Nothobranchius furzeri: one gene and its partner. The main gene of each other region encodes a partner of the protein of the gene in region 2 in a complex. Links are inferred from orthologs where the notes say so. Each region holds a gene or a part of one and is shown on either strand. Other genes may lie near its edges.

Evidence for each region.
Region 1: kat14 (region 2) and mbip share a complex: the UniProt entries of both Homo sapiens proteins name them as parts of the ADA2A-containing complex. The link is inferred for Nothobranchius furzeri from reciprocal best matches to the Homo sapiens genes KAT14 and MBIP.

Annotation. Positions count from the first base shown.
Region 1 is NC_091758.1:21,135,889-21,141,870, reverse strand, and holds the start of mbip (MAP3K12-binding inhibitory protein 1), read left to right. Parts: upstream 1-2,394; 5' UTR 2,395-2,433; coding exon 2,434-2,553; intron 2,554-3,340; coding exon 3,341-3,457; intron 3,458-3,623; coding exon 3,624-3,803; intron 3,804-4,365; coding exon 4,366-4,462; intron 4,463-4,818; coding exon 4,819-4,884; intron 4,885-5,064; coding exon 5,065-5,223; intron 5,224-5,749; coding exon 5,750-5,847; intron 5,848-5,982. UniProt on the Homo sapiens protein: Inhibits the MAP3K12 activity to induce the activation of the JNK/SAPK pathway. Component of the ATAC complex, a complex with histone acetyltransferase activity on histones H3 and H4.
Region 2 is NC_091746.1:29,632,666-29,638,664, forward strand, and holds kat14 (cysteine-rich protein 2-binding protein), read left to right. Parts: upstream 1-1,887; coding exon 1,888-2,146; intron 2,147-2,248; coding exon 2,249-2,370; intron 2,371-2,465; coding exon 2,466-2,587; intron 2,588-2,818; coding exon 2,819-2,991; intron 2,992-3,065; coding exon 3,066-3,500; intron 3,501-3,574; coding exon 3,575-4,155; intron 4,156-4,332; coding exon 4,333-4,466; intron 4,467-4,576; coding exon 4,577-4,752; intron 4,753-4,826; coding exon 4,827-5,017; intron 5,018-5,088; coding exon 5,089-5,262; 3' UTR 5,263-5,353; downstream 5,354-5,999. Other genes in the region: protein PET117 homolog, mitochondrial, read left to right, coding at 770-1,009, 1,543-1,692. UniProt on the Homo sapiens protein: Component of the ATAC complex, a complex with histone acetyltransferase activity on histones H3 and H4. May function as a scaffold for the ATAC complex to promote ATAC complex stability. Has also weak histone acetyltransferase activity toward histone H4.

The DNA.
Region 1 (5,982 bases), on a different chromosome or scaffold from region 2:
TCTACCAAATCGGCCTTTCTCATGATCCCATGATTACCTTTTTTTGTTCATTTTTTTTCTTCCTTCACATGTTTTGATCATTTTTTTCTTTTTTCTCAATTTTTTATGATATTTTTACCTTTTGTTTTTTGTTCTTGTGAAGCACCTTGTGATTTTTATTTTGAGAGGCGCTATATAAAAAATTGTTTCTTCTGTTTCTTCTTCTTCTTCTTCTTTAAACTATCCTAATTCAGAACTTTTATATAAACGCATCCATGTTGAAGTTCAAACCAACAACAGCAGTTCCTTCTGAAAATGTTTTGATACGAACACCAGAGCAAATCAATCATGAGCAAATAATGTCTACAGAAGGGGACTCAGGACACACAACTTCTGTTTGAAAAGATTAGGTTAATTTTCACGTTTGTATTTAGTTTCTCACACTTTACATGTTCTAGTACCTCTTCTGCTGTGTTTGGTGTAATTCATTTATTTTCCTGTATTTATTTATCCTTTACACTAAAGTGGGCCAAACCATTTTGTCACCACATTTGCATTTTCACTGTTGCATCTATTAATCACTGAAAAATCTCACCTATTGAAGCTATTTTCACTTTTATTCAAACGTACAAGGATTGTGGAAAAACCCTCGGCTCTGCACTGATTAACATATTGTTCCTATGTTTTGTTATGCTTGACATGCACGTTCCTGGGCTATCATAATAATGTCTGTTCTATGTTTCATTTTGTTTTTATTGCTGAAAATTGGGTCTTATGTGTGTGTTTGAATTGCTGAAGGAAATAAAGATGTAGACTGAAGCTGCATTCTTTGACTGCTGCTGACCGAGTCATATGTAAAAGTATTCGCATATAAAAAAAAGGCTGTTTTCAAATAAATACATCACCAAATTTGGACTGTCTGGTATTTATTTGCACATATGCAAATGAAAAATACATTTAGCTAAATGGTTGTTTATGTTCAATTGATGGCACGACCTGGAAATTCCCGATTAAAACATGCAATTACAAAGTATTGGTATTTAATTTAATATATGATGATGTAAGTATTACCTCTTCTGTTCTTTATGATTTTTCAACTAACAAGATAGTGAAAGATCAAGTCAGACCCTTAGCTAATGAGCATCTGCAATTTGGCTTCAAAAGTTAAATTCAACCAAAATGCTCTAAGTATTTTCCAAGAAGTACCTTAAATCACATATACAGCTCATTAAAAGGGTAAAAAAAATTACAGCTCTTGGGTCTGCAGCCAGGCAAATTAAATGAGCAGTGTATTTAATTTCAGAGCTCCTCGCTGTGTGGGAACATTTAGCAACTGCTCAGCATGTCAAACCATGTCAAGTGTTACAGTTCTCTTCCTGTTTCACGGGAAAAAATATCACCCTACAAATGAATTAAGCTAAAAAGGCTTATCTTCAGAGCCCTTCCTAAAATGATTAACCTTTCTAAAGAGCATTATTGAGTTCTGAGTGCATGGTTGTGCCGTCTCTTTGCCTGTAATTGTTCTTTTTCTGTTGTTTCCTTCATCAGTCTCTCTCTTCATTATATGAAAAGAAGTGAAAAATGTCTGAATAGAGAAGGGAGATTTTCCCACAGTCACTCAACTCAGAGAAATACACCATTGTGGGCAGGTTCCCATCCCAATGCCCTGCTGCTTGGTCCTCTGCAGTAAGAAGCACAGTGTGCTTATAATAAGGAGCCATTCTTTGTGCTGTTTGAGAAGCAGGTGAATGAAAACGTAGGCAAATGTGGCTTGGACATGTCAGTCAGTATTGTAAAAATGTAGACAAGTCCATTTAAACCAAGATTTAAAAAAGAGTTTAAGTCATAAAGCACCTCAAAAATCAGCACAATAAAAACATTAGTAGTTTTTTAAGAATAAAACTTATTTTATATGCTTTATACAAATAAGACATGACCTTATGAGCATCCTCTGAGAAAAGGCAAACAAATATACTGAACCTAAATAATATGTCCATTTCAAAAGTTAAAACATTTTCTGTTTATTTTTCTCTGCTGTTTTTTAAACTATTGTTTACTTTTTTGTTATACTGAAACATATTTCACAATTTTAAGCATCTGTACTAGTTTATTAAATAGTTTAAATTAGTAAAAGTTGACTTTTGCTTTCTGAATGAGCCTTCTAGAAATTAAATCTCCACAAACAAAAACAAAAGCATCTTTCTACCTATGATGAGCCCTCTTTAGGATCAAACAAAAAAAACTATACAGGTTTTTTAATGTTTCAGAATCTATTTAAAGATCAAAATTCTGAGCAAAACACAGTAAATCATTTATTTTTGTGCTTTGAATTTACTTTCATGCGCTACTGTTAATGCGCATGCGTCATTTTAGCCTGCAGTTCCACCAACCACGTGATTAAAATCACCGTCTCGCAACCAATGAGCACGCAGTATTCCATGAGTTTGAGTAGCAATGGCGGAGACAACGAAGCTAAGTGAGAGCAAAGCTCCTCCCAGCGAACCAGCTAAAATGTCCAGTTACAAACACTGCATGGACGCAATACTGGGGCTGCTTTCAGACTTTGGGAAAGAGGTTGGTGTGAAATGATTCAGCTGCTTCGCTCCGAATAGTCATTCCAGTCTGAGTAGTTTCCTAGCGGTGTGCTAATGTTTTTAGCAACTAGCCTCGTCGGTTCATGTTCATTCACTGTCCGTTAATCAAGTTTTTGCCGTAGGAAAGCGTCAGCTCGATGGTTTATATCTAAATTAACAGATTCAGTTTTAATATTTGTATTTCTGTGCAATAAAAACATGTCCAGACTTTTGTGTCACACGTCAGTTTAGGTTCAAATCACGCTTATTTTCATTTACCCTCTTTTTCCATATAGTAAACGTTCACGGTTTTTGGCATTTTTACGCAGTATTATGTAATTTTTGGTCCTGCAGGTAAACGTTTATTGATGCCACTGTCCACAACGCATTTCTACCTTAGAAAATATATTTAACCTTGCTCTATTTCCCCCCGTGTTTACGTCTAAATTATTAAAATTGCTGGATGCTTTAGCTCTTTTCATACCCAGGGCTTCTAAAGGGACATTAAATATATGTATTCAGTCTTATATACACTGTTTTTTTTTGCTAAATAATGGTTTAGTTTTTCTAGCACAGCAGAAAGGTTCAGTGTAAAACAATAAGATTATTTAATTTGACCGTTTATAGAAGCAAATTATGAAAAATTGCTTCTTTTTTAATTACCAAATTGTTGGTTAAATTACTTAAATTATTTAGCATTTTCTGCCTCTACTATTTTGAACTATATATTTTTTATTTAGCTGTGGTGATGTGTACTTGATGAAACTCTTGTTTATTTTCTCTCAAAGCTGAAATTAGGGGATGCTGCTTTGAGAATAGAGGTCAACCCTGGAGCTGTAGTACTTTCGTCATCTTCAGAAGCAGGTGTTTATGGCTGTGTACAGCAGCACATTGCTAAGTTGCAGGTAAGACATTCACCCGTTGGTTAATTTATGTTACATATGACTGCAATATCTAATAAGTGCCACATTTACAGTATAATTGATGGTCACTAGTGTTGTAATTAAAGAAATAATAACACTAATTTATAATGTGTTTGTAGCAGTCAGTGTTCTTTCTGTTTGGCTGTAGGCTGTTTCAGAAAGCCTGAGGTCACTGGTGGAAGCTGATGTTACATCTGTGAAGGAAGACACGGCGGATAACATTGTCACGTCACTATCATCCGAGCACCGGCGTCACAGCTCAGAGGCTGCAGACTGCGGGTCTTCGGGCGATGACGTCATGGTTCAGATCCGAGCCGGGAAGTCAGAGGTTGGTCATTGTCAACAGATCTGTCAGCTGTTCTGGCACTGATATTTTAGAGCCCTTCACACTCTGTCAAGCAAATGAATAATCATAAGTAATTGGTTCCAAGGATGTGCACATGATGTGCAGCAAATGCTTGATGGAGTTCTGATACTGGGTTTGACAGAGAATAAAGGGTTCTGTAGTGCTGTGGTGGGGTAGAATGGACCACATTGCTGGAGGGGTTTGAGAGAGGGCCAGGTCCTTGATGGATTATGAAGTGGATGCTCATTACTCTGAGATTGCATGTGGATGAAGGACAAGAGGCCCCATTCTGTTGTGCATTTATTTTGGTAGCCAGGCAAACCGTATTCTTATTCCATCACATGATGACGATAATCTATTCAACTGTTTGGGCTATCTGGAATAATTTCTCTCACTGTGTTTGATATTTTTTGAAACCATAAATCGCTGAACTTTGTTTACTCTAAATCAGTAAAAATAAGTCGACAAAACATTGAATTCTTCACAGCTATCAGTGGCTCATCAACCCGTTGTGTCTTATTATCTGTCTTCTCTGTAACTCCAGATCGAGCGAAGAATATCTGCATTTATGGAATGCAAGCAGATGGAGATCAATGAAAACAATGTGCGCGAGTTTTGCAACGTGATCGACTGCAATCAGGGTGAGAACGGAGGAGAGATTGGGGGGCAGGGTGGAGAGGGAGGCTGCACACAGATTGCCAATGTTTGGGAGAGAGCTGATTTCCACAGGCGAGAGGTCAGGCTGAACTGCTCCAAGAGTGGGCCTGAAGTAGCTAACACACTCGGCCTTGAAACGCAACCTGCTCTGGCCAGAAAAACACCAGACACACAGGCTGTTTGAAATTCAAAGCTTGTGTGTGACGCCAGTAATGGAAATCAGACGAAGTTGCAGTTCAAGTGTGGTGTATTCATTTCTAATGTTTTTTTTTATGACTATTTTCTTCTTACATTTAGAAAGTCTAATTACACTTTTGTTTTGGATTTGATTCCTTTGTAGAAAACAGCTGTGCCAGGACGGACGCCGTGTTCACTCCTTACCCAGGCTTTAAAAGCCACATTAAAGGTAAGAAAAGGGGACTCTTTGTTGCTCTTACGTTCAAAAATACACTCATCATCACTAGCTAAATTATTTTTGTTAACAATTTGGTAACAAGCATCATGGATGCTGTGTGATTTCTGTAATGTGCATCATTTAAAATTTGGTTGGTTCATCCGAGTCTGTGATTATTCTTTGGTTGATCAGTTTCACGAGTGGTAAACACTTACGGGCCCCAGACTCGTGGCGGGGGGCGCCAGGGAGAGGCTGCAGAGCATCATAGGGGGGCAGCTGCAAGAGACTGTGGAAATGCAGCCATAGAGGAGCGACTTCAGAACATGGAGACTCACCTGAAACTGCCGTCAGGTGAGAGAAGAGAGACAAGTGATGCGTCACACATCCTGAATAAAACTGTACAATACAAATAATATAGATATTGTGACATGATGAGCACCTTTTTTTATAAAATATCAACAAGAACATAAATTCTTGATGTTTTTCTTAAGTCACACAAAAAAGAGTTAATCACACTCAAAGATGCACGGATTCTAATTTTTATGGCCGATACTGATTTCTGAGTTTTCACTACTCTAACCAACCAATGATAGTGATGGTGTGTTCATGGACTAGGAAAAAAAAAACAGATTTTATTTTTTTTGTCTTTAACTTGAACAAACTGGGGGAAAATCTGATTCTCAGGTGCTGGGTTGACTGATCACCTTGTCATGTTGAATATTGGCTGATTTAAAACACCAGATGATAACTACGTACATATTTTTGGGGAGAATCTTGTCACACGATGATTTCTCTCCCTATTTTCTGGGTTTTGTTTTAGTCCTTTTTTTCCCAGTCTGGTGTATGGAACATATTATATTTATGTTTTATTCCTCAGTGGGTCCGGTTCCTCTGACCGTCTACCAGCGACTGAAGACGTTGGAGGATCGAATCCTGGAGCTGGAGGGACTCTCTCCTGAGTACTTTCAGTCCACGGTGAGTCTTCTGGATTAAACACACAAAGCTTTTTCAGATAACATTACAGCACAGAGATCTGCATTAGAAACTAAACTTAAATGATGACAGTTCACATAATGTAGTTCAATGCAAATTCAACCAGTGCTCTCTTAG
Region 2 (5,999 bases):
CGACACGTGTCTGTAGCACGATTAGACACTCGTTTATTTAGTTTATCAGCAAAAAAAGTTTATTTGGGGGAGACTTGCTCTTTAAGCTCAGCTCTTTGTGTTTTTTTTTATAATTCTTTCTGCAAAATTCAAATACACTGAAAAACCTTTTAATTCTTTTAGATTTAAAACCAACGTTTCTGCTCCTCAAACTTTGACCATTTCTGCTCATTTCAATCTTGATTCAAGACTTTAAGCTGCATGATTCCGGTTTTTTCTTCGTGTTTTACATTTCTCCTCACTGCTAAGATCATCGCTCCTCTCCAACTTTCCGGTCAGGGTGATTTTCCAAAACTTTAGTTAACAAACTAGCTACTTCTGAACCATTTACACTAATGAAATAAATGATAAGAGATTTACACACATGAACACTGAAATTTCCTTTTCCTCATTGAGAGAGAAACAGGTCCTATCTTGGAATAGAATGGAATAGACTTTAATAATCCCACAGAGGGGAAATTCACTTGCTCCACTTAAAGAAAATAAAGAAGGAAATGATCAGATTACAGGTAAACACACCTTGGCCATACGTTATTATTGTAAACTCCAACCACTAAAAACAACGAATAAAAAGAAAACGTTGGTTTCCAAAACTATGTGCACATACTAATGTACATTCTCAGCCTGCGTCGCATAAATGTTTAGCCGAAAAAAGGTAAAACGTCATAAAAAATGCTGAAAAAGCACCACAACCATCTTTTTTTGTTCTGTTACCAAGAAACCTTCAACGATGGCTGCCTGCAGCTCATTTCCCCACCAGCAGGGGCCGCTGTGGCTCATGGGAGTGAAAATAAACAGAAGAAGAAGAATAACTTCCGGTAGTGCAGACGAGGAGCCTGTTAGCATCTGGCTAACTGAAGTCAGACCCAACGTGATGTCGGCAGCCTCCAAAGTGGTTCTGGGTGTTTCTGTGCTTCTGACGCTGGGTACCGTGGCAGCGGTCCATTTAAACCAGGCCTGGGATCGAGAGGTAAGTGTGCGAATCGAGCCGGTCCAGCAGCAACCGAACTACAGGACATTTAACCTGACCTCTGACCCAAAACCAGCGTAAATAATTTTCCTGTAAGGAAGTGATAGAAATAAACTGGCTGGCAGCTCACAATGTCCCGGATGTGAGATGATTACCCATAATTCACTGTTGCACAAACAGCTCATACCCCAGCTGTCAACATGGTGGTGGAGGGCTAATGGCCTGGGCCGGTTCCACAGGAGTCCAGCATCCTGATATCTAACACACACACACACACACACACGAGTCTGTGACAACACAGCAGCAGATCAACAACAGAACCAAGGTGCAGCGGTCCAGCCAGAATCTAGACCCGAACTATGTGAGAAACGGACCCATATTTGTGTTACTTCTGCTCTGCAGGAGGAGCCTCTTTGTGCTTATGGTTCTGAGTCTCTTGTAGGCCCTTTTATCTTGCACTTGGGTTCAGATTAAAGCCGACGTGACTCCGCAGCAGGGCCTGTTGTCACGTGTTGTTTTTAATGACCCTGCAGAGGCTGCGTGAGGGTGTGGTTCAGGATCTGGAGCGGGTGGAGAGGAAGAAAGAGAACCTGAGGCTACTGGAAGAGCAGAGGATTCTGACCAGACACCTGGAGGAGGAGCGGAGGAGAGGAGAGGAGAGGCTTCAGTCACAGGACACCTGAGGCAGGTCAGGAAACATGGTCATTCAGCTGTGTTTGCTTGTATAGAACAAAGATGACATGAAGGACCAGAACTTCTCTGTCTGGTTTGATCCAGTTTGAACCTATTGTTGTATCTGAAATGTCCACATGGGTCTTCTGGATGGACAAATAAGAGAGTGCCTCTCTGACCCATGTAACCTCCACAGGTGCCCAGAGATGGACAGCAGCAGTGAGCAGCTGGCAGCGGCAGAGGACGAGGCGGCTGGAACATCCGCCTCTGAGGGTCTGGAGGAGGGCGAGGTAGAGGGGGAGACTCTGCTGATCGTAGAGTCTGAGGACCAGGGCTCCGTAGACCTGTCCCACGACCAGAGCGGGGACTCTCTGACCAGCGACGTGGGCGAGGAGACGGATGGAGGCTGGGCCTGTGAGGACATGTCCTTCTACTGCGAACGTTGCCACAAGTGGATCCCTGCAGGTCAGCCAGTCACAGCACAGCATGGAGGACCGTGTGTGTGTGTGTGTGTGTGGTTGCTGCGATCCTAAAGGGTTTTGTCTTTCTGACCCGGTTCTGGTCCAGCTGAGCTCCACGGTGACCAGCCCAGTTACCTGAAAGGAGACAACTTCTTTAAGTTCTTCTGCTCCGAGTGCTCTGAGGACAGGAAGGAGAGCTTTGAGAGGATGAGGCTCACCTGGCAGCAGGTATGACCCAGACTCAGCAGGGCAGGTACCACACACACACACACACACACACACACACACTTCCTGCTTGTTAAACAGGAACATCCTGTGTTCAGGTGGTGATGCTGGCCATGTACAACCTGTCTCTGGAGGGGACAGGCCGGCAGGGTTACTTCAGGTGGAAGGAGGACATCTGCGCTTTCATTGGCCGCCACTGGAACTTCCTGCTGGGGAACAGGTGAGTTAGAAGTCATGCCGGAGACCCTGGCCAATCAGAGTTTAAGGCTTCCCTTTCAAACCTGAGCTGTTTGACCCACTTTAAACATCCACAGTTGCACAGATGATGGAGGGAAGATGGGTTTCCAGGGCCAGGAAACATCCCAGCCCCGATCGATCCCGTTGAAAGAATCATCACAAGTTCTGCTGAATCTTTAACTCGGATCAGTGAAGATGCTAATGATGTTTGCAGGAAGAAGACGTCAACGTGGTGGAGCACAGTCGCTGGCTGCCTTTCTGTCGGAAGTCCCACCTTCTTCCGCTCTGGTGCGCAGGAGTTTGGAGAACCAGGCTGGTGGAAGCTGGTCCAGAACAGACCTCCCACCTTGAGACCGGATGGGGACAAATCCATCGCTAAGGTCAAAGGTGAGATGCATTGTCACAGTTATGTTCAGGTGAGAAAGCTCCGCCCACTGATCCATTGTGTCGTTCACTCACAGTCTCTAAACCGGTGATGGACCCGATTATTACGGTGGAAGGTCTGAGGAAACGTGGAGCCAGGAACCCGGTGGAGAACGCCATGCAGCTGAAGGAGAAGCGTTGCCGCACACAAGAGGCCAAAGACATCCGCCGAGCCCAGAAGGAGGCAGTGGGAGGCTACGTTGACCGCAGCTCCTCCTCCACTCCCGTTAAGCTAAGCGGAGGCCGCGGTGGGGGTGCCAGTCGCCGGTCTGAGGTGGTCCTGGAAAAAGGCGAGGTCATCGAGTTCTCATCCCTCAGCTCCTCGGACCGAACACCGCTCACCAGCCCATCTCTGTCTCCATCGCCCGACTTCTCCGCTCCGGGAACGCCTGCCTCTCATTCAGCCACACCCAGCCTTCTTTCGGAGGCGGACCTAATTCCGGACGCCATGCCGCCACAGGCATTATTCCACGGTGAGTCATTTCATCCTCGTGCTGGGCTGTGGTGTCAGCTGTGATGTCATCTCCTGTCTGCCTCCCTCTTTCAGATGACGATGAGATTGAAGGGATGATTGACCCAGGGGTGGAGTACATCCCTCCTGCTAGCACCAGCCATGTTGGCCGTAAGAAGCTCCGCCCAGCGGCGCCATCCCACATCAAACGGGAAGCTGAGAGTGAAGACGATGATGGCCACCAGAACGAGGACTCCCTGGAAGAGCCGGCAGAGGCCCCGACTCTTTCCTGCCGGGGTCCGGTTGGCGTCAGAGCAGCCGAGCGGCGGAGGGCGACTCATCCTGAGAAATCTAACGAAGTGGCTGTCCTTCGGGATCCGGGCCTGGTCCCGCTCAGCCTGTACGAGGAGCGGCTGCTGCTGCTGCGGCTGGACGCCTGCCCGCTGGCGCTGGCCGTCACTCCACATGCCAAACGCCTCCACAGGAAGCTGCTGGTCCGCCAGACCAAACGCCAGAGAGGGCTCCCCCTGCTAGACGTTGACCGAGCAATCAGCGCCACCCTCAGCCTGGTGGGAGGCATCTATGATGCGCAGGAGGCGGGGGCACATGTGGAAGGCGGGGCTAAGAAGAAATACTGCAGCAGCCGCCAGGAGCAGCGGATTCTGGATCGTTTTCAGGTCTCTGCTTGTCTCCTCAACTCCAAACCTTTAGAAGACATCCATATTTCACATCAGCAGCACGTTCCAGCTGTTTCTCACTCGACCTTTGACCTTTTTGTGCCGTTTCTCCCTTGAAAGCTAACACCATCGGCTCAGATTCAGCTTTGGTCTCTGAACCCATCTGTGTGTTTACAGACCAGCGTCTCCAGCCGAAGGCGTGTCCAGCACAGCTCCGTGTCCTTTTGGCACCGTCTGATGGGAGCTGAAGGCAGTTTGGACAAAAGCATCAAGAGTCCGTACACGTCCCGCCTCCTGAAACCGTTCATCAGGTAGGCCAGTCTGAAAACTTTGTCTTACCTGCTGGAGTACGAAAGCCTTACAGGTGGCGCTCCAGAGGTGCCCAGGCCCAGGTATCACGTAGAAGCTGTGTGCTCCACAGGAGGGATTACGAGAGTCGCCCGGTGAAGCTCAGGTTGCTGGAGGAGATCAGAGCATACCCCCACAGGAAGGATCCAGACTGGGTCGCTGAACCGGACGCCCCCATTGACTACTGCTACGTCAGTCCCTACCACATCCCCTCCGTCAACGCCATGTGCCAAGACACTTTCTGGCCAGGTAACATGGCTCCGCCTCCCTCCTTTGCTTGCGCCTGTCAACCACGAGTCAAACCTCCAGGTGTGTTCCTGCAGGTGTGGACCTGTCTGAATGCCTGCAGTACCCAGACTTTAGCGTGGTGGTTCTCTATAAGAAGGTGGTGGTTGGCTTTGGTTTCATGGTGCCAGACGTCAAGTACAACGAAGCCTACATCTCCTTCCTGCTGGTCCATCCGGAGTGGAGGCGGGCCGGCATCGGGACTTTCATGATCTACCATCTCATCCAGGTGAGTCCTGTTGGGGCGGGCAGGTAGTTTACACGAGAAAGCCTGGACCCTAACAGCTGTTGTGCCTTCAGACGTGCATGGGGAAGGACGTGACGTTGCACGTGTCGGCCAGGAATCCGGCCATGCTACTCTACCAGAAGTTTGGCTTCAAGGCCGAGGAGTACATCTTGGACTTCTATGATAAATATTACCCTGTGGACAGCACAGAGTGCCGCCACGCCTTCTTCCTGCGGCTGCGGCGCTGACGCCTCCACCCTGTTCACCAGGCTGCGTAGACCTAGATCCATACGAGTTGTTGTTGATCAGCTGATTAAACTTTTCTGTTGTTGGACTTTTCTTGTGCTCACCTCGTTTTAGACGTTACTCGTCGCACAAAGAAAACAACTTTTAAGTTGTTAGTAAAGTTTTTACACAATGGCATTCTAGCAGGGAAGCCTGATCGGTCCCCTCCTCCGTCACCTCCTCCATCTCCTCGGGTGGAACCTGGGACCTTACCCAGGCCTTTCTCCATGTGAGAACCATTTCTAGAGGTGCTGATCCTCACCCCAGTCAAGAGCTGAAGTTTGACGTAGCTAGGAGAGACAAGATCCTCCTGCCACCCTCCACTCCATGGCTGCACCTAGAAAATCTGCCCAAGGTTCTGCACAGAACCGGTGACAAAAGGCGGCAACTCACTGTGAGCAGGTCCAACTTGGGAATTAATGTTATTTCAAAGCTTTTGGACTTTTCTGTATCCGTTGTAGCATCCTGAATGTCCTGTTTTTGACCTAAAGGTCATGATCTGCTGCGTCTGCTCGAGCAGAGACATAAAGTCTCTGACAGGCTAATCTACATGAGATAGTGGCCAAGGTCTTTCATGCACTCTGCTCATCTGACCTGCTTCACCTCTGTTACAGCTCAAGACGAGGATGAAGAACTCTTGATAAACACATAATCAACAACTTTGTTATTACCAATAATAATGTGAGTCCAATGTTCAATC